4 linked regions of the Drosophila melanogaster genome follow. The protein of the gene in region 2 binds, or shares a complex with, the protein of the main gene of each other region. Each region holds a gene or a part of one and is shown on either strand. Other genes may lie near its edges. The genes, in order: eIF3j, eIF3e, eIF3d2 and eIF3f1.

Region 1 (5,713 bases), on a different chromosome or scaffold from region 2:
GTTTATGAACCTGCAACATATGGATATGTAGAATTTGAATAATTTGGCGTGTAGCAAGGATATAGCTCTGATCAATCTATTACTACAGTTTTGATATGTTTAAAAGTAGTAGGATTTGAACGTTTCCTGGTATCCAGAAGACTTTTAGGATGTGAGCGTTTTAGGAGTTTAGGGCGTAACAGGGGCGTGGCACGGTTTTAAAGAAAACTTACATGCTTCCTTACTCTTAATGTTTCCGACATCTCGACATTCATACGGACGGACAGGCAGGCCATTATAATTAACCCAAGGAAAGTTGTGGATTGGACATCGTGCCATGAATCATTTTAGCAATCGAGATAAGCTTGAACTTTTAAGACCAACTGGCTTTTGAATTCAGTATTCGGTTAGGCTTTGACATTTCAAGATGGTCTCGATCCATTTTTATTTGGCACTTTTGCTTCAAGCGATTTCCTTGGCGAATTCTTTCCAATTTGGTAAATAGTGGCAACTACAATACAATATACATATCTACAATTTCATCGGATCAGTGTCAGTGTTAAATATATACTTTGGCAGCTCACGGATCTATTTTTGGTCTCAACAATAATTAATACCTTATAATTACAAAATTGGAACTTCATTGGGTTGATTTCGCTACACAAAACTATAGTCTTACCAGGAAAATGCAATCTTTAATAGGATTTCATACAGTGTTACAAATGCTATTTTCGGCCATTTTGAGCTCCATTAATTGGTCAATTTTTGTTACCCCCCTTAGCAAAATTCAATTTTTGCCGACTAGACGAGATTTGCATCCCACTGAGCAAATGTGAACCTCTTATGAAGATTCTACATCCCCGGAACATGACAAACGATCAAAAATCACAGTACCGGAACAAACTATGCAACATTAATCCTTTTGCCCACGAGCTAGTGCACATGGTTTTTACCTGCTGCCCGATGGTTGCAGGGGATAAACTACCAGATAGCAGGGTCTGCGGACAGAGTCCTCCTTCGTCATATATCGTAGGCGGCATGGAGGCACAGTCCAACCAGTTTCCCTGGACAGTCCTGCTGGGTTACGAAGCCTACACAGCAAAGCAGCGACCGTCTCCCATGTGTGCGGGCTCCTTGATCGCCAGTCGCTATGTGCTGACGGCAGCCCATTGTTTGAATGTGAATGACTTCTACGTGGCACGTGTGCGCCTGGGCGAGCATGACACCGAGAACGATCCCGACTACACCTGGCTGCCGAATGGAGCCAAGATATGGGCTCCAGCGCACGTGGACATCGATGTGGATCTGAGGGTTCCGCACGAGCAGTACTACACGAGAAATGGAAGACACTACAACGACATTGCTCTGTTGCGTCTGAAGAGTCGGGTGAAGTAAGTAGTGTGCTCTTTGGGGTTCCCTCTTTTCACATTTTCCCATCGATGTCCTCTCTTTCAGATACACTCTTCAGATCAGACCCATTTGCATTTGGCCTGGCATTGAATTGTCAACTTCCTCCTTCAAAAACTTCCCTTTTCAAATTGCCGGCTGGGGCGATTCGGGTCTGCAGCAAAAAAGCACCGTACTTCGCCAAGGCACCATCAGTGGAATGAGTCCGGATGAATGCTTGAATCGGTATCCAACACTGCTCGTCGATAAGGACATCCAGATATGTGCCATGGGATGGGATGGCACCGACACCGGACTGGGAGATTCCGGTAGCCCGCTGATGGCTTCGGTGGGCAGGGGTGCTGATCAATTTTATTACCTAGCCGGAATAACGTCCTACGGAGGGGGACCCTCCAGTTACGGATATGGGCCAGCGGTTTACACGAAAACTTCCTCATATTATGAGTGGATAAAGAAGAAAATCAATGATATCGCTGAAGATGAACGTAAAATGAAATACAAATCTGTAAGAATACCAATTTAATTTAACGTTATTAAAATGATACTTTTTATGCATGCAGAAATGGATGTTGTTCTTTGTTAACAAAATCGCCAAAACAGTCAAGTAAAGAAAGTACACAATTATCTTTAAAACCGTTCTTGGGACAAAAAGCCACATTTAACATGATTATGTTAAAAACAGATGTAACCATTGAGAATTGCAGACGTTTGACATAATTCACATTTTGCAAACAAATCCAGATCTTAACTAGACCAATTCTAACTCCAATAAGGATGACTTAGCCTCTCAATCGAAAGAATTCCTCGACTATAAGATAGCCTTAGTCAGCAATTGGGGAGTTCGAGGTATATAACGACACAGCTAGTTCTTCTTATCAAGAACATGCTTATGTATGTATATACTCTCTACTATATATAATTTATCGAGTCGAATCAATTTTCCTTATAACTCTAAGAGTAAGTTTCTTAGAACACCACGAAGAGGGAGATTTATCACGAATTTTTTTTGAAAAAAACTTGTAGGGTAACTCAAATCTTTAAAAACTTAAAGATTTCTTAACAAAGTTGACAAATTTGTGTTTGAAAATAAAATAAGCAATCTTACAATCAAGAAAGGAAAAAAATGAAAAATGAAATATTGTAGGGTAACAAATTTCAAATTGTCGATAACTTGATATCACCTTGGCCGCACTACGAATATTCGATGGCAACAGACTATCGGCGACGTTACCCACGCATTTTCCGCTAGTCGCGCCTTGGGCACACTACAGATCCACAGAAATTTGGTTTTGGAAAATTCCTGAAATCGCTGCCGAGGCTGGAAACAAGTCGATCCCAGCACCATCCCATCCAGAAGCACAAATCCCGCAAGCAAATAGGCAACCATTAACATGGCCGACGATTGGGGTAAGTTGCGATTGGCCTGGGCGGAAGAGTGGGCGGTGCGTCATCTGCACGGCGGACAATAAACGTGGTCTCCGTCGTTGTTGTTGTTGTTGCTGCTGCTATTGCTGTTGTTGTTGGAGTGCCGTGCAACCAGCCTTGATGAGTATTTTTAGCCACTGTGCCAACTAACCGTTTGAAATCATTGTTATTCACCATGTTCCTGGAACTCATTCTGTTACCTGGCAGAATCCGCAGCAGACAGCGAGGTGGTCATCCGGCCGACTGCCGCCGCCAGCGTAAACAAGTGGGAGGGCGAGGACGAGGATGAGGACATCAAGGTGCGACTAACGAAATCCAAGTGAGATCGAAAGCAGTGCCGCATTCAAACCAACTATCCAAGTGCCCAACAACAAATGCCATGGGCCAAAACTTGTTTTTCTGCACTCGGTTTCACTTTCGTTTCGCTGTACACGTGTGCACTTTTGCAGCAGACTGATCGAATCATTTGTTTATTTGCTGCCCACAGGACAGCTGGGAGGATGAGGAGGAAAAAAAGGACGAGGAGAAGCCTACGAAAACAGAAGCACCAGCCAAACCGAAGCCAAATAAGGCGCTAAAAGCCAAACTGGAACAGCAGGCGGTGAGATAAGGCTCAAAAGCATTTCTCAATCATTGGCTATATTGTTATCATCTGTTATTAACAGCTCCTAGAGGAGGAAGCGGAGGCAAAACGTTTGGCCAACCTATCGCCTGCAGAAAAGTTGGCTGAGAAGCTGCGATTGCAAAAAATCCAGGAGGCCTCTGATCTCAAGCATGCCCAGGAAGCGTTCGGTGTGACGAGTACGTGCGGAGGTCTTGACGCCTTCAACCCCGAGACCAAGGAGGAGTTCAAGGAATTTGGCGCAACGCTCAGCTGGAAGGTGGGCCAATTCCGCGAGTCGGAGCACTTCCCCCAATTTGTTGAGGATCTGGTGCGCAGCCTATGCGTGAATCGTGAGTGATTAGCTGGCTGACAATTAAAGACGGCTTATCTGATTTGATTTCGCACCTTATCTAGTGAGCGCTGCTGACATCAAAAAGGTCAAGATGAACGTGGAAATCTTGCACTCGGAAAAGCTGAAGCTGGAAAAGGCCAATGCTAAAAAGCCCGCTGGAAAGGGCAAGGGCAAGGTCACTCTCCGCACCGAAAACGACGTGAGTGTTTCAATCGCCGCCGTTCGAGATCAACGAATGAACTTATTTAATCCGCTCTTTTGCAGGACATTGACGGTTACCAAAAGTACGGAAATGACTTCACCGAAGACTATGACGACTTCATGTGAATAGGATCTATAAATGTAGCCCGCATATATCTAATTATTGAATGCATAGTTGCTTGTTGAAGAGTTCTTCTTGTTAGAGATGCTGCGCAGGAATAAGAGTCCTTTGTTAAATATAAAATGGCAGAACCTATATAAATATGTAAATATATATTTATATAACCATACATAACACAAAACGAGTTACATAGTCAAGTCAGGCAATCAAGAAACCTCAACGAACACGCAAATCCAACTCCAAACCGAAAGAATATTTAGGCAACTGACTTATGGCGACAGCACATGTATGTAGGTCGTATTCGGAACGGCTTCTTGTGAAATTCATTTTTGTATAAAGAATAAAACTACAGATCGATATTAAACGAAAACAAAGAAATCTTGCTTATTGTGCTGTATGGGTGGGTGTGTGGTACGGGTGTACAAGTATGATGGTGGAACTGTTGATGATTGACAATTGAGTTAATTATAGGTAGCCGCTTTTATCTTACCATTACCATGAACTTTTCAAAGGAACCATAATTTTTAATTTATTTAAAACGATCACAATGCGCGCCGTAATTTGAAGGCGCTTCACTGTGAACGGCTTTGTTTGCATAGCCAAGAAGAAGCATCGCAAGGTGTGGTGTGTGACTTGGCTTCAAAATCATATTATTGAAGTAGTTAAAAATAAATTCAGTTGTCGAATAAGTGGATTTCGTCATAAAAGAAAGAGTGCTGACGCATTTGAAGTGCACTCTTATCCCTTTCAACTCGTCTATTAAGTATTCAATGTGTCTTCAGCCCAAGTTAGCTTAAATCTAGCTGAATAGTCAGCACTGTCGTCATTTAATGCACGTGCGGCAAATTAAAAATAGACAAGAATGAGCGACTTTAACAAATATTGCGAAGGTTTTATTAGCTATAAGCCTGCCAAGACGGCCTGATTAATCCGTACATCCTGCAGAAGCTGCGAGGGAAGCGCTTCCGGACTCGGAAGACGAGGAAGACATCGGCGATGAGGACACTTGTAGCGCACAGGATCTTGCCGCCGAATTCCAGCTGAAGTACAAGCCGCAGGACGAAGTCAGTGTGTCCTTGCAGCGTGAATATGTTCTTAGCCTGGCCGCAGATCAAGGATTCTCACGGATGGCCGCCGGACTGTCCAATTCAGCAGTGCATATCTATAATTTGGATTCGGGCGCCGGGAAACTGGAGAACTTTAGCTATCTGCCGCCCACAGATTCGCCGCAGAGCGTAAGCATCTGTGGCGTTCGTTTCCTCGACGAAGGACCACACAACATCCTGGTCGGCACCACCGATGGCTACGTGCGCCTCTACGATCTGCGGCTAAGAGGCGAACAGGCGCGGTTCAAGTACACGCAGCACCCTAATGTGCCTCCGGTGCCCAAATCGCTTTCGTGCTTCGACAGAAACGCCAACGGTCGGATTATTTGCTGCGGCACCGAACAGTTTCACAGCAACGCGTTCCTCGTGTTCTTCGATGTTCGGGAGCGCCAGCAAATGGGCGTCTACTTCGAAAGCCATGAGGACGATATCACCTCGTTGCGGTTCCATGCCCAGAATCCAGACCTTCTGGCCACGGGCAGTGTGGACGGGCTAGTAAACGTGTTCGATGTGAAGGA
Region 2 (5,321 bases):
TTTGATCAGCATGTCCGCCATAAGGAGAAAGCCAACGGGCAGCAATGCCGACCAGGAGTTGCTCATCGACGAGCCACCAAAGTCGGAAAAGGTGGCGGAGCACCAGAAACCAGATATTCGTGGAGACCGGAGGAATATAGCCATACTGCTGTTCCTGTACGTTCTACAGGGCATTCCCATCGGGCTCATAGCAGCCATACCAATGTTGCTGCAAAATAGAGGAGCTAGCTACAAACAACAGGCGGAGTTTTCATTCGCCTACTGGCCATTCAGCTTAAAGCTGCTGTGGGCTCCAATTGTGGATTCCCTGTACATCCGGCGATTTGGACGCCGGAAATCGTGGCTAGTCCCAGTGCAATACCTTCTGGGAGCCTTTATGTTACTCCTCTCCCTCCACGTGGATCGCTGGCTGGGCGGGAACGGTGTCGATCCCAATGTGCCGCTCCTGACGCTGCTCTTCTTCCTGCTTAACTTCCTGGCTGCCACTCAGGACATCGCCGTGGATGGCTGGGCCTTGACCATGCTGAAGCGATGCAATGTTGGATACGCATCCACCTGCAATAGCGTGGGCCAAACAGCTGGCTACTTCTTGGGCTATGTGGTGTTCATTGCCCTGGAGTCCAAGGATTTCTGCAACACCTACATAAGAGACGTGCCACTCGAGGATGGCATGATCACATTGCCCCGTTTCCTTTGGTTCTGGGGCATTACATTTGTGGTAGCCACTACTTTGGTGGCAATTTTCAAGAAGGAGAACGACATCGAAGACGCGCATATGGACGCTCGCTACACGGAGGAGCACGAGTTGAACATCCATGAGAGCTACAAGATATTGTGGGACATGGTGTGCATGCGTCCCGTCCAAATTCTGGCTGTAATTCTGCTCACCGTGAAGGTCACGTTCGCAGCCTCTGATGCAGTGACCAGCTTAAAACTCATTGACGCTGGTGTACCGAAGGATAAGCTGGCTTTACTCGCCATTCCCCTAATTCCTCTGCAGCTCATTCTGCCGCTGGCGGTCGGTCGATATACGAACGGACCACGTCCGATGGACGTCTATCTGAAGGCCATTCCCTATCGCATCATCATGGCAACAGTGGCCACTGGCTTGGCCTACATCACACCCTATATTGTCCGTGGAGGAGCCGTGCCTGCTTATTACTACGTCCTGCTGATCACCAGTTATGCCATCTACCAAGTATTCCTGTACTCCATGTTTGTGGCCGCCATGGCCTTTTTCGCCAAGATCTCCGATCCAGCCGTCGGTGGCACTTACATGACATTTTTGAACACATTGTGCAATCTGGGCGGTAATTGGCCCAACACAGTGGTGTTGTGGTTGGTGGACGTGCTCACCTGGAAGCAGTGCTCCAATAATGCGGAAAATACCTGCCAGGGCAAGGAGGAGCAACAGGTGAGTGCTCAGAGAGAGATTCTACAGCATACAAGATTATTATTATTATTGTATATGGATACATATGTATGGTGAAAGTTTTACCCCAAACCAGGAAAAGATAAACTTTGCCAGTTATGAGATAAAAGTAACTAAACAAATATTTTTCTTAATTTTCTCCCGCAGAGCTGTGAAGCGTCGGCTGGCAAGTGCGAGATAACCTTCGATGGGTACTACTTGGAGTCGGGCATTTGCGTTCTGTACGGCATAGTGTGGCTGCTGCTGGTGCGCAAATGGATCGTTTACTTGCAGGACCTGCCCGTCAGATCCTGGTTGGTGGTCAAGCAGAAATCGCGGTAGCAATCAATAGTGTGATCCGGGGCCAGATCGTCATAAAGATCCAGCACCCACTTGTAGGTACAAACAACTAATTCTAGGATTAGCAGACGTTTGCATTCTGTAGGCTAGCGAAATTACAAATTCCCGCCTTGGTATTGTTTTTTGTATAACTAATTTTGATTCCGAAGGAAATAAAATCAAATGTTGAATTGAGCGAATGAGTAAGATGTTAATTTATTCGCTCGACTGCGCGCAATCATCGGTTTTTAAAGGGTACAAAGAGTCTTAACTTAATTGTGGATAAAAAGTCAGCAACTAGTAGTACTTCCAGGAGTCGGCCGACTCCTGATTCTGCTTCTGCTTGCTCTTGCGCTCAATCAAACCTGCCAAATGCTCCGACCGCATGGACAGCGAGTCGATCTTCTCCACCAGCTGCTGATAGGGACTCAAGGGCTGGGTGCCCATCACCACATGACCCAGTTTCGAATCGATCTTGGCATTCAGACGGGCATTGCGGATAAGGTTGACGATCCAGCACTCAGCCTCGTTGGGCTTCATGTTCAGCTTATCGGCCAGCATGCTGATGGTGATGCACTGGTGGATGCGGCAGAATGTCTCGAAGATCATCAAGCGGGCATCCTCCACGAACTCATTCAGGCAGGCCACGATGAAGAAGTCGTTGAGGATCACCGTCTGGCACTCGTGCAGCTTCAGACGCGCTCCCTCGAAATCAAAGTTCACGTACAGACACTCCAGAAACTCGGTGATGGGATCGCGGTACGTGTACGACTCCTGTTGGATCACCTTGATCAAATCCTTTAGAGCATTGCGGCGGGTGCGGTTGATGACTACGGCGGTGGCCAAGTAACGCATGATGTGCGGACACATTGTCTGAATGGCGTTCAAATACAGGGGCTTGTACAGGAACATCTCAATAATGAGATCGCGTCCCTTGGGGTGATTGAAGAAGACCAGGACCGACCAGTGGATCAGCCAGGTGCGTTGCTGCAGGGCCTGGATGGTGCTGAAGTTGGCGTTGTCAATGTAGTCGCGCAAACGCGTCAGATCCTCCAGAGCAGTGTTCCAGTTGAGGGTCAGAATCTCGGCGGCCAGCTTGCCCCACAGCACATTAAGGTAGTTCTGCAAAATTTGGGAGACAATATCAATTAATATTCTTGTTTTAGTGGTTTTTGCCGCTTTTCATGTTAATTTAGCTCCATACGCACCTTGTCGTTGGGCGACATGACGATGAGGCAGAAGTACAGGTAAGAGGTGGACTCCTGATAGTTGCCGCACTCGTAGAGGTACTTGGCCAGCTTGTAGGCGCTCTCCAGGTGCTCCACCTTAAAATTGTAGTCCTTCTGAAGGGCGTTGACGAAGGTCTTCGAGTCCTTCATGCTCTCACCGTTCTTAAGAATGTCGGTGGCCTTCATGATGGGTGCCACCTCGTTCTGCAGCTGCTTAAGCGTGGCCAGGACCTCCGCCTTGCGCTGCACGAGCTCCTCGGGCATCTCCTGGCTGAGATTGAGACGCTTGCGGGTGTCCATCGTGTAATCGATCATGTTCGTCTTGTTCACCGTCTCCAAAATGTACTCCAGCAGCTCCTGCTGGTTGTAGATCTGCAACGAAAGTCACACATATGAAGATTTCCCATAGTTATGTACTGGTGACTCGGCAACCGCCAGCGGAGCACCGCCTGGTCGCTTTTCTAACCTCCTTGCCGCACAAGAACTCCAGCAGCGGGAAGGTCAAATGCCTGTCCAAAAACTGGCAATTGATGCGTGTCAGATCGAAATTGGCCATGATTGCAGCTGTTTTACTATGTTTTCACAATTAAATTTACACGCAAAATCGGCAGAAAAATACGCGTGCGAGGGCCGACAGTGTGCCCAGAGACGAAAAGAGTGACGCCCGCTCAGAGTTACCAGAGTGTGGTATTTCCACGACATTAAATACCATGACCCTGAAGCCGTATTTTTTTCAAGCTTTCAAAGTGGCGCATTTATTTAAAATAAAATTAAGTCATTGAAACAACTTTCAAAAAATACTCAATTTTCAAAATTTCTATTATCTTAGCATGGCTATTATAGCAATAAAAAATTATTATTTCAATTGTGGCGCCCAGACTGAAACCCGGTCTGGCATCACGGCGAAAAGAGGTACTAACGCCAAGACCTTTCCTGGAGGACGATATCTTCTGTCTTCTTATCGTCAGACTGGACACACTGGAACTTCAGCTCCGCTCGTAACAAGCTTACGGCATAAAACAACAAGATATTGTACTTAGTAATTAAATAAAGCGGTAACTACATAAGTTACCATACAATGAATTTAAAGAAATATTATTAAATATTTTCTACATTACAATGGTTTCTCATTCCTTTAAAGTTATACGCTTTACGTAAAATACCAATAATTTTAAATTACAAGGTATACATATAACAAAGGTTTTTAATTTCAAAAAGACGTTGCCTCTCTTTTCAAGCTATTAATAAATATATTTCCCATGCCAAATTCAAAACACAAATATCAACTCATCGGAGAAATGCTTTTTAATAATTTGAATATTTATTTCATCAAATACTTGCACATAAATATATTTATATAGAGATGTCTGTATAAGGGTATACATTTGGGTTAAATATGTTTTGTATAAATTGTGTAATTCTTTGTATTCGCACATTCAACTGCCAAAGAGCAGATTTGTTTTAACAATAGCCACTTAGGTACATTTGCGGTCAACGGTCGAATGCAGTTCAAAACACAAAAACAACATCTAAAAAATGCGTTTCGATATTGGCCGAGTTTAATACATTTCTCTTTCTGTATATACGATTTATGGATTGTATATAGGATGGTGGAGATCAGCATATCAATTTTCACTTCATATATTTCGTTTGCATAGATTAGGCAACTCAAGCTAAAACAACATTGAAAAAATGCATTTTCTAAATATTTAATGTTCAATTAATTTTCATTTTAACGATAACGGTAAGTTTCTAGTTATTGTCCTTAGATTTTTTGTTGGATATTCGATTTCCGTTAAGATATACATATTGATTGGCTTCAATCAGAATTTCAGTTTGCACTCTTAATTGACTCCTGCCGCATCATCATCATCATCATCATCATCATATGGAGGGCATCTCGACGAACCACTAACAATTCCCAGCCAGCTTTGCGATCAAAATAAAACTAAATGAAACGTGTTTCGTTTTGGTTTGGTGTGTAAAAAACTCAAGTCTTTTTAGTGTAAACTAAACTAAAATCGCGAAAATAAAAATCACAAATCGTTAAAGAATTTCGCACTATAGGCTAAGGACGATGCACGCACACAAAACTTGATATTAGCTGCTCTGGCTGCCTCTGTGGATCCTCTTTAGGATGTCGCGATGACGCCACCAGGTCCTGGAAGCCCACTGGGACGGCCGGTCAGATAGGAATCGACCTGTCGTGCGGCCTGGCGACCCTCGGTAATGGCCCAGACGACCAGCGACTGGCCACGCCGGCAATCTGCAAAGGACAGAAGATAAATTAACATTTTTGTTATGCAAAGATACAGAAATCATTCAATGATTGATGTGATTAA
Region 3 (6,011 bases), on a different chromosome or scaffold from region 2:
TGCTTTTGTTCGCTGGGTAAGTACTTACTTATGTGCCAGGGCATTATTCTTGGCTGTGTTCCTTTCACCAAGCCGCTACCGCTTTTTCCTACAAGACCGGCAGTGGCAGAAGAAAAGCTTCAGCGGCAGGAGCGATTGCAGATGAGCTGGAGATGAGAGGGTAAATCCGGAGGTTGGAAAGCGGAAGGCGGATGGGGATGGAGAAACCGCAGCGGTGACGTGGCAATGCAGCTGCATAATGTGGCATGCGGTTTGCATTAAAAATGATATTGCAACACGAGCCGCACATCTGCAGCTGTGTGCAGTTAGGCGCCGCCTGCAGTCACTGACAGCCGCATGGCAATTATAATCCACACACACATACACTCACTCAGACGCACACTCATCCACGGCTTATGGCTACACTGAAATCAATTCAATGGTAAAATAGGAATTATTTCAGTCAAAATAAGTTCCCATTGTTATTGCTCCACAGAACCCATTATTATATTCTTGGTATGCATTCTTGGTCTTCTATTCTTACATTTGACATTATCTCTTCATATTCTCGCAGTGTATCAACAGAGAAGTGCGAGGGAATCTGGAGCCGGGCCATGTAAGCAGCAGCTGCCAGTGACATACACATCAACATGACACCCTGTCGCTTGACAAAGCTTAGCTCAGGATCTGGGTGCTGGAAGAGGGGCGGAGGCACCGCACTCCCACTGTCATCCCGCTCGCACCCATATCATTTTCCACACATTCAGGCACATTCACACGCTCGACATGTTGCTTTTTGGGTATGAGCCGGAGTGCAGGATGTCCGCTTCCTTTTTCGCCGCCTCACACGTTGTTATCTAACAAGCTTTTTATGTGATTACCTTTTGCCTTCTGTTAGTTTTACTATAATTTGGCCTTTACGCTTAACGAGATTGTTGTAAGGTGCTCCCAGCCAAGAATAAGGAAACCGAACCGGAACACAGTGAGGACTGAGCCAAGTTGACCAGATCCAGCACACAGGACACTCGTCCCATTGTAGTGCACTCCGCTGTTGTTCCTTTGCTTTCCTGATACTTGGGTCAGAACAATGGTGCTGGAGTTGGAGTCATATGAATGGAGTCATGTCGATGTGAGCTTAGATGCGTCGTCAAGTGATAATCCCGTCACAGTACCCCGCTTCCTGTACCATTTCCACAGCTCAACAAACATTTATTTGTGCGCTTAGTGAGGGTTTTTTATAAAAGATAATAAGAAACAAGAATTTGTCGGCTGGAAGGGGATCCCCGCGCCCATCCTGGATCAGCTCACCATGCGGAGGATGAGAATAATCGTGGCCAATGAGAGCAGCACGACGTTGACGGAGAACCGAAAGACGAACAGGCAATTACACATTTCTTCATTGTGGTTGCGGTGGTGTTTAATTGGGGGCAGGGCGTCCTCCTAAGATTCATTCTCCAAACGTCTTACTTCTCACTTTGTGTAGTTTATAGGGTTTCGGTGTGACTAGAAATACAAATAAGACTGAGCTTTTATTGTGAGGAATTGGTATCTTTTGATTTCTCACAATAGGCTTCAATCTACTTACTATAGGCTTTTGAAGAAATCTTTTTAGTTGTCTATCAAAAATTATTTAAAGATTGGATATTCGGTTATTTCCTTAATGGATAAAACCGCCTTTTTCATATTATAACATTATCCAAACGTAGGGCTTGGAAAATTTTCCCAAGCTGTCAAGCCGGCCATACGAAATCAGCTCAGTGTAATTTGTACCTCGACAAAACCGGATCACATAAATGTAAATACTTGCTCTTGGTTATTTAAACATCTTTCGGCGTGATTATGTCCAACTACGCACCCTTTATCAAGCCCTATGTGGAGTACAACGAGCACGGCTGGGGTCCTTGCGAGGTACCCGAATTGGATGTGCCCTACCAGCCGTTCTGCAAAAGTGATCGCCTGGGCAAGATCTGCGACTGGACTGCGATGGTGCCCGAGAAGAAGTTCCCCAGTAAATACGCCTCGACCTTTGGCAACAACAGTCAGTACGCATACTTCTACGAGGACGATGACTCCACCTTCCATTTGGTGGACACCACTGGATCGAAGGCCACCAAGCCCTATCAGCGGGGACGCTATAGACCCAATATGCGCAACAATGTGAGGAGCAGGGGTCGCACGGGGCGTGGCACTCCGAATATAGCAAGTCTCGGGGGATCCACGGCTGGAGGCGCAACTGCCAGTACCACCAAGTACGGAAAGGGTCGCAATACACGCAACACGCAGAATATGGGTCGCAGATTCGGTCGCAATGCTCCCACCAGAATCCGCGAGAGCTCAGTGATGGTGCAATCGGATTGGGTTTCGATCGAGGAGATTGATTTTCCACGCCTTCTCAAGCTGGCACTTCCCAATATTAAAGATGGTAAGGACATTGCCACCTGCGGATGGCTGGAATTTTATGATAAGTTATACGATCGAGTCAACTTACGCAATGAAAAACCATTGCAAAAGATGGATCGTGTTGTGCACACCGTGACGACCACGGATGATCCGGTTATTCGTCGTCTTTCGAGGACCATGGGCAATGTCTTTGCCACCGACGAAATCTTGTCCACCATAATGTGCTGCACACGCTCCAATTACTCTTGGGATGTGGTAGTCGAGAAATTGGGCACTAAGGTGTTCTTAGATAAGAGATATAATGATCAATTTGATTTGCTGACTGTCAACGAGACTTCAGTAGAACCTCCGATGGATGAGGAGGGTTCCATCAATTCGGCACATAGCTTGGCAATGGAGGCCACTCTAATTAATCACAACTTTAGCCAGCAGGTAGGTTTACAGTAGGTTTCAATTTATGTTATTTGTTATTGTACGTTTTTAAATCTTATGTTATTTATTTTTAAAAGGTTCTTCGCATTGGCGACCAAGAGCCACGTTTCATGTTTGAGGAGCCCAATCCGTTCGAGGAGCCAGGCGTGGATCTTGCCTCCATTGGCTATCGCTACCGTCAGTGGGATCTGGGCAACGATGTGGTGCTGATTGCTCGCTGCAAGCACAATGGGGTTATCCAAGGACCCAATGGGGACGTGCAGTTCCTCTCGATCAAGGCGCTGAATGAATGGGACTCCAAGGTGACCAACAGTGTGGAGTGGCGCCAGAAGTTGGACACCCAGCGCGGTGCAGTCTTGGCCTCCGAGTTGCGCAACAATGCTTGTAAGCTAGCTCGATGGACCGTTGAGGCTGTGCTGGCTGGTTCCGATCAACTGAAGTTAGGCTATGTGTCCAGGATGAATCCGCGTGATCACCTGCGTCACGTGATCCTTGGCACACAGCAATTCAAGCCGCAGGAGTTCGCCACCCAAATCAACCTGAACATGGACAATGCCTGGGGAGTATTGCGTTGCCTAATTGACCTTGTGATGAGGCAACCGGATGGAAAGTATCTGATCATGAAGGATCCCAACAAGCCGATGATCCGTCTGTATGACGTTCCGGAAAACGCCTTCGACTCCGACGGCGATGAGGAGGAGGAGTCCAGCGATCCCTTGAGTAACTCCAACGATAACTAACGCCCTCACGAATTTATTCAACTAATAGTTCTCCGAACAAGGGGATCCGTCGACGGACGAGACAAGCCGACACATGCTGACAGATGCGCAGTGAACACAAATGCAATTTAAATTGAGTTTTTGACCAAACACAACATATGAACGGAGCCATCACTTGACATGTCAGTGAACAACGGACCGGGTGACCGGGTGCAGTCACAGTTATTTTGAGGATAACATGGCCACATCAATCACTGCGGTTCCAAGAAATACAAAATGAAACCCGGCTAAATAAATATGCATTGTGCAGAACATCCCCCGCCATTACCGACTGACAATCACAATAATTGCGGGGGAGTGGAACTGGGGCTGAAATGGGTGAAGGGCTGTTTGGGTGACAAACCTCAGGATCAATAAATCACCGAACACGGCATCAATCAATGCAAATTCTGATGCTGCTGTGGTGCTTGGCGTGCGACAATTTAAGCAAAATGTTTTCGTATTCAACAGCATTTAATTAAATTCATATATGTGCTCGAATTTCATATGCATCCTGCCTTTTTTGTTATTTGGCAATTCAATTTGGGCAGTCAGTGAGCACAAAAGTGCAGAAATTATTCCCCAACGGAAATGCAAATCGCTCAACTAAATTACCAAAATGTTTTGCGCATTTTTGTTTTTGTTTCTCCGTCCGCCAATTTCTTTTTGTTCAGCGCCAAATTGAATTTAGACCTATTCAATTTGCATGGATAGGCTTGCACTCCCTTTCTTCCCCAGACAGGATGAGCAAATGATGATGCCTGGGTGTGAAATAAGTGTGTGAAAATATTTAGGGAATTTACGCAAATGAAAATTGAAACCGATTAATTTTAATTCCCTGCCTGCGGCAAATTTGATTGATAAAGTCGGTCCATTATGTGGCAGTGCACAGATTCACAATGCAGCACATACATATGTATATGTGTGCACATCAAGTATACGCACAGTTGGCCGGAAAGGCACTTGATCTTGCCAGTAAGCAGCAGTGAAACACCAAAGTGTTATTCAATTAAAACATTTTGTTTGCTAAATCAACATGTGTGCCTGTGTGTGTGCCTGCAGGACCAACTTACGAAATGACTATTGCGGACTGGTTTTTTAAAGCGTTTGCCGCAGAAAAGTTGGCTCCGGCTGGTTAGCTGCTCGAGTGGCTTCAGCTACCATGTACCACCAACTACGGAGTACAGACTACCGACTACCAGCTGGCAACTACCGGCTTTAGCTACCAGCTTTAGCCTTAGCTGTAGCTGCAGTTGTAGCTTCGGCTTCTGGCCAGGACTGGCGTGGCATTTCAAGGTCTGCGCTTGGCTAACCACGCCGTTGAAAGGCGTTTAACAAACTGGCAGGCCGGGTTGGCCAGGGCACTTGCCAGCGGCAACAACTCCTAGCCCAACTCAAGTGGGGCCTTAACGCAAAACTTTGTACATTTTATCGCATATGCAGGGCTGCGGGCCATTCCGGGGTAACGGAGAACACAGACCGGAGAGCCCAGAACACAGGGTGTGGGTTAGTGGGCTGAGGTATGGGTTTAGATGGCCAAGGCATTTGCATATGCAACCACAAACACCGCCCGAGTGAAAAGTTAAGCGTTGAATGAGGGCGACAAATTGCAAATTAAACTCTTTTGCATTTTCCCAGCATCACATCACATGAGGAATAGTTGTAAATAAAACTGCCACACCCGCGTCAACTTTTTCAGCTCCTGCGACCTCCAACTAAATTCAATTTCATTTCAATTTGCCTCACTCGCTTTTTTCGCTGAAATGGGGTTATGGTAGCTGGAGCCTCGGAAGCCGTCTGAGCCGCATTAGGAAACCAAATGCGACTTTAAGTTGCCACCAAAGCATTTGGCCCCAGGCCCTCTAGCCGTTTAAGCAACGGATTTGCCATCTTTGGACTTTGGTTGGGTTCACCAGGATCAGGGGGCTCCGGGTGCCAGGGGTCACGCATTTCGGGGGGCGGACTGAAGAGTTTAGGAATGTTTGTAAGCCAAAAGTTTTGTGTTCTTTTGGCCAGCTCGGATTTCGCCTCCGCCTTTTGGCATATTTAATTTGCCGACTTGTGCCAGTTTTTCTTTTCTTGTCTTTCCTTCTCGAAAGATCCTGTCAATTTTGTGACATTTGCTTTGGGCTCCATTCACCGTTAACTTTTCAAATGCAGCTCATTTAAATATCATTTGTCTGGGTAAAAGTTTGCCACGAGAAGTCAGTTAATCGAGGATGAAGCCCACGGCTATTAATATAGGTATGGATTGAAGTGAAAAGGGAGACCCAAAGCAATCAAATATATCGTAAAATCAAAATATTACTTATATATCAAATCGGAGATTCTTTAATATTCCCTTCTTTTTACAGGACGAACCTGATAGCCCTGCTACTCTTTTCCAGATGAAAATTCGTAAAACTTTCTCACTCAAGTTACCCCAATATAATATATTTAAAT
Region 4 (4,873 bases), on a different chromosome or scaffold from region 2:
TTTGAGACTGTCAAGAAACTCTTTACACAAAACACTAAATCGATGTTTAATCCTAAATTTTTAAATTATTTTATTAAAATTTTAAAAGTTTTGGTATGTAGTATGTTCCCCATTGGCTTTAGCTACAAGTTGAAGCCCTTTTTTCATGGAATGGACAAGTTTTTGCAGGTCATATTCAAACGGGATCTTTTCACACTCTTCGACTATTACAGTCATAAGCTGTTGTCGTGTTTTAGGTCCCTTTTTGCCACCTTCTTCTTTAAGTAGGTCCACAAATTTTAAATGGGGTTCAGATCAGGACTCTGAGGGGGCGTATCGATCACTTTACCACAGTTATAAGGGCGCCAGGTGCGTACATTGCACTCTTTATGTTTCTGATCATGTCCTCTTAAAATATAAAATTTGGCTTGTTGTTGCTAACTAGACCAAATTTTTCTGCACCGGCCTTCAAATTTGTTTTTTAAGATTCCTAGATATTGCACGGCATTTATTGTGCTCTAAATTAAGGCTAGTTTTCCCACTCCATGGCTGGTGATACAGCCACAAACCATCAGTGACATTTTTCCAAATTTTATCGTTGGAATGATATTTTGTTTTTCTAGCGCACTCAGCGGTTTGCGCCATACTCTGCTTGGCCCGTCGTTATAAAAGAGCATAATTTTTGTTTCGTCACCAAATATGACGTCATCCCAGTACTCTTCTGGATGATCCACCTTGTTCACAGCGAATTAATGACGCTTTTCCATATTGGCATCTGATAGCAAAGGATTTTTCCTCGCAACTCTTGAAGAGTATCTATGGCGTAGGATGACTTGGCGCACAGTTTCGTGTGACACAGTTAGGTGACACTCTTGCCTGATATCCAGAGCAAGTGATCTGACCGGGGGTTCGCAATCTCTATTCGCATAATAAAGCGGTCTACACGCTTTTTAATTTTAATTTTCCGCCCACCACCACTCTTAGGTTCAAGCCTGTCCTCTTTTTCCGAGCCTTTTAAAAAATAGTAGACGGTCTTACGGGATACAGAAAACATTTATACTTATTCTGGAAAAGATTTTCCCAACTGGTGGTTATAGTTTATTAATTGGGTAACTTCAAAGTTTATCTCTTTCCAGGCATTTTATTAAATTTAATAATTCGCTTTAAGCACGTTTGATCAGCAAAATTTCACAAGCAAGATTGAGTAGTAGAATGTAACCGACATTTTGTTATTGATCCGTTATGTTAAGAATGAGCAGCGAGCAATGAAATTCACGGAAAGCGTTCCGTTATTGAGTGGGCATCATTTGTGTGGCTGTTGTTGTTGTTGTATAGTTTCTGGAAACGAAGTAAGGATGAAATAATTGAGTGAAGGTGAGGAATAGAAGAAAAGCATCGCGAAGGCGACGCTTGAGTAAATTAGTCTGCTTAGAACGACAGAAGAAACAACACGCAGGCGACTTGATGTGCTGGACAATATGGACGCTGAAGTAAATGAAAAGTCGCGCTTGGCATCTCCGACATATTCAAATTTGAATAGTATTTGATTAACTAACGCTAGCCACCGGTTTTACATCGATAAAACGATAGGCCACGCACGACCGCACCGATAGCTCCAAAAGCCATCAACCCCCACCCGCACTATCGATAGGCCCTTTTCTTGCATCCCTAAAACATACGCGCAGCGTGGCTGAATAGAAATTATTGCGGAAATTTTCCTTGCAAATCTTGGCCACCGAAAATTACCATGTCGGCTCTCAATCTGACCGTGCGCGTGCACCCGGTGGTGCTTTTCCAGGTGGTGGACGCCTTCGAGCGGCGGAACGCGGACTCGCACCGCGTCATCGGCACCCTGCTCGGCTCTGTGGACAAAGGTGTGGTGGAGGTTACCAACTGTTTCTGTGTGCCGCACAAGGAGCACGATGACCAGGTGGAGGCAGAGCTGAGCTACGCCCTGGACATGTACGACCTCAACCGCAAGGTGAACTCCAACGAGAGCGTGGTAGGCTGGTGGGCCACCGGCAACGACGTTACCAACCACAGCTCGGTGATCCACGAGTATTACGCCCGCGAATGCAACAACCCGGTTCACCTCACCGTGGACACTTCGCTGCAGGGCGGACGTATGGGTCTGCGTGCTTATGTCTGCATTCAACTAGGAGTTCCCGGCGGCAAGAGCGGCTGCATGTTCACGCCCATTCCTGTCGAGCTGACCAGCTACGAGCCGGAGACATTTGGGCTCAAGCTGCTTCAGAAGACCGTAGGCGTTTCGCCCGCTCACCGTCCCAAGACCGTTCCGCCAATGCTGGACCTGGCCCAAATCTCGGAGGCCTCCACGAAGCTGCAGTCCCTGCTGGATCTTATTCTCAAGTACGTTGACGACGTGATCGCTCACAAGGTAACCCCCGACAACGCCGTCGGACGCCAGCTGCTAGACCTTATCCACTCCGTGCCGCACATGACCCACGAGCAGTTCACTCAGATGTTCAACGCCAACGTACGCAACCTTCTGCTGGTCATCACGCTCTCCCAGCTCATCAAAACCCAGCTGCAGCTTAACGAAAAGCTCACCTTCCTGCCCACCGCCTAGAACGACGGCGTTTGTTGAAGTGGTAATATCTACTAAGGGTGGCATTGTAAACTGATTGTGTTTTTTATCAATGGGGGTCTACGTAATAAAGTGCTCTGATCGCCAAAAAAAAAAACCAAAACTTGTATCGATTACTCTGGTCAGAATGACATTCCATACTAAAGAAAATATATATGGGATTATCTTTTTTATAACTCAATTGAAGAATCAGCATGAATCCTGTGACACCTACACTAAACGACCATGTGGCGTTTGTAGGAGCATTCGAATCTACTGAAGACTCTTAAACACAACAGTATTCATCACCAGGAACAAAATAAATGCATGTGCAACTGAAAATTTAGCACCCAACTGCTAAAACAAAATGTTGTGTTTCAGTCTTTGGTGAGCTTCACTATTCTATAGGGTTTCAGGGAGTCGCATCGGTGCTGGGTTTATTGTAAGAATAGTAATATTTATATTCTTTAATATCAAACTTTGATGATCGTACCTTCGGCACACAAAAGTTATAATATCAAATTTTGTGACGAAATATGACAACACATTCTATTAAAAACTAGTTTCTTACATTTTATAACCAGCACCTCGTTGCATCATATGCGTTACTTAACTTTCAATTGTTTGGTAGCACCAGGATAAACTTGAGCTACGCCTACACTTTTCTGTGCAATCTGCATCCTTAATCTTCTAGCATTTATAGTTCATGAGATCTTGACGTTCATGCGGACAAACATGGCCAGATCGACTGCGCTGATTCTTGATCCTGGTGAAGAATAAAAGGTACTCTAAAGAGCATAAAAAAACACACTTTTCATATGAAAGAAGGACACAAAGGGGCTCCAAGATTTCCCCGTATGCCTTAATATATAAATTAATTAAAAAAAAAACTTTTCATATGAAAGTTTGTGTGGCCAATTTAAATATATTCGTAATGCATACTTTTGGGCGAAATTTAAATCTCAGAATGCGGAAGTTTTTTTTTTAAATCAATAACATTAGTTACAGTGTTACATTAGCAGATACTGGTTCCTCCCAAAAATTTATGAACTCAGTTGTAAGTTTTTATTAAGCATGTCGAATTGACATCCACTTTGTTAGCATATTTGTCGGAAATGCGACAGGACAGGTAAGTTATACATTTTAGAACAATTTAATTAACAATGATAAGTTCAGAAACGTAAAATGATTGTTTCATCATTGAAGGACTGTATCTCCTAGTCATTGAAGTATTACCACCAACATACCATACACCTTTTAACTTTAAGCGTTCTGCAGATCAAAATATGAAATAGTTCTTCATTGAAATAGTTTATTAAAAAACTAAACTATATCTTCTTTGATGTATTTATACAGAAAAATTATTCATATACCGATCATGTTTAAAAATTAATCATACAATCCAAGATGTGTATATAATATACAAATTTTCAACTTTATGCGAAATTACAATAAATAAAAATAAGGGATATAAGAAATGAAATCTTTCGCGATATATGCTCACCTCATGCAAGTTTAAGGGTATGTATATAATAATTATGTTAGTGAGTTGCGTGTGGATGGGTGTTTGTATATAGTTTTTTTTAGGTACATTGGATGCGTCGTTAGGTATTTTAAGTGGGCTGTAGCGGGTACAAAAAGTTAGAAACTAACTAATTTAAAAGCGAATTTTCGGATAGAAATAGTAGATTGTGTAGATGTGTAGAGTAGAGGTGTAAATATAAATTCAAAACAATTTCAAAATTTTAACACTTCGTTTAAAGTTAATCCTTTTTTTGGTTTTTTTTTTAAGTTTCAACACACATTACTTTGTTACAATGTTAGAGAGCTTGGCATTTAAACATGTAAAATGTATAGAGTTTGATTTATAACATGTAGAATGCGTTGTATAAAACTTTTAAATCCGAGTTAAAACATTACATAATTTCGTAGGGAAGCATATTAAAGCGATTAACACTAATCTGAAACGTTTTGGATTTGACTTTGTTCTCAACATATGTAGATATATGTATTGTATATATGTGAACGTACGAATTATCATCTCTATTTAATATCTATGTATTACTAGTACAACAACAACAATCAATGTTGCAAAAGCAACAGAGCAACAACCCCAGTTCTATTCAATAATCCACTTCCGTTTCCATGGCGAGGGCTCAGTTAGACGCAGCTGAACTTAATGCCGTCATCGCTGGAGTAGCAGTTTTGGCAATGCAGCTTGTGGTTTCGCACCCGGACATCGGTTCCATTGAGGCCATCTCCCAGCTGGACGTGGCAGACGCAACACTTGAAGCAGTTGATGTGGTA

Evidence for each region.
Region 1: eIF3e (region 2) and eIF3j share a complex: the UniProt entries of both Drosophila melanogaster proteins name them as parts of the eukaryotic translation initiation factor 3 (eIF-3) complex.
Region 3: eIF3e (region 2) and eIF3d2 share a complex: the UniProt entries of both Drosophila melanogaster proteins name them as parts of the eukaryotic translation initiation factor 3 (eIF-3) complex.
Region 4: eIF3e (region 2) and eIF3f1 share a complex: the UniProt entries of both Drosophila melanogaster proteins name them as parts of the eukaryotic translation initiation factor 3 (eIF-3) complex.

The regions. Positions count from the first base shown.
Region 1 is NT_033778.4:9,966,443-9,972,155, forward strand, and holds eIF3j (eukaryotic translation initiation factor 3 subunit j), read left to right. Parts: upstream 1-2,486; 5' UTR 2,487-2,777; coding exon 2,778-2,793; intron 2,794-3,018; coding exon 3,019-3,110; intron 3,111-3,298; coding exon 3,299-3,412; intron 3,413-3,476; coding exon 3,477-3,765; intron 3,766-3,829; coding exon 3,830-3,966; intron 3,967-4,031; coding exon 4,032-4,094; 3' UTR 4,095-4,455; downstream 4,456-5,713. Other genes in the region: CG12133 (uncharacterized protein), read left to right, coding at 823-1,370, 1,435-1,909; CG12134 (uncharacterized protein), read left to right, coding at 4,952-4,979, 5,035-5,713. UniProt on the Drosophila melanogaster protein: Component of the eukaryotic translation initiation factor 3 (eIF-3) complex, which is involved in protein synthesis of a specialized repertoire of mRNAs and, together with other initiation factors, stimulates binding of mRNA and methionyl-tRNAi to the 40S ribosome.
Region 2 is NT_037436.4:16,783,299-16,788,619, forward strand, and holds eIF3e (eukaryotic translation initiation factor 3 subunit e), read right to left. Parts: upstream 3,644-5,321; 5' UTR 3,536-3,643; coding exon 3,446-3,535; intron 3,352-3,445; coding exon 2,959-3,351; intron 2,873-2,958; coding exon 2,048-2,872; 3' UTR 1,944-2,047; downstream 1-1,943. Other genes in the region: CG9706 (uncharacterized protein), read left to right, coding at 11-1,414, 1,580-1,753; CG9674 (uncharacterized protein), read right to left, coding at 5,112-5,245. UniProt on the Drosophila melanogaster protein: Component of the eukaryotic translation initiation factor 3 (eIF-3) complex, which is involved in protein synthesis of a specialized repertoire of mRNAs and, together with other initiation factors, stimulates binding of mRNA and methionyl-tRNAi to the 40S ribosome.
Region 3 is NT_033777.3:12,190,760-12,196,770, reverse strand, and holds eIF3d2 (eukaryotic translation initiation factor 3 subunit d2), read left to right. Parts: upstream 1-1,759; 5' UTR 1,760-1,818; coding exon 1,819-2,811; intron 2,812-2,888; coding exon 2,889-3,551; 3' UTR 3,552-4,068; downstream 4,069-6,011. Other genes in the region: CG43450 (uncharacterized protein), read right to left, coding at 1,284-1,430. UniProt on the Drosophila melanogaster protein: mRNA cap-binding component of the eukaryotic translation initiation factor 3 (eIF-3) complex, which is involved in protein synthesis of a specialized repertoire of mRNAs and, together with other initiation factors, stimulates binding of mRNA and methionyl-tRNAi to the 40S ribosome.
Region 4 is NT_033777.3:4,710,939-4,715,811, reverse strand, and holds eIF3f1 (eukaryotic translation initiation factor 3 subunit f1), read left to right. Parts: upstream 1-1,629; 5' UTR 1,630-1,726; coding exon 1,727-2,569; 3' UTR 2,570-2,930; downstream 2,931-4,873. Other genes in the region: smash (smallish), read right to left, coding at 4,727-4,873. UniProt on the Drosophila melanogaster protein: Component of the eukaryotic translation initiation factor 3 (eIF-3) complex, which is involved in protein synthesis of a specialized repertoire of mRNAs and, together with other initiation factors, stimulates binding of mRNA and methionyl-tRNAi to the 40S ribosome.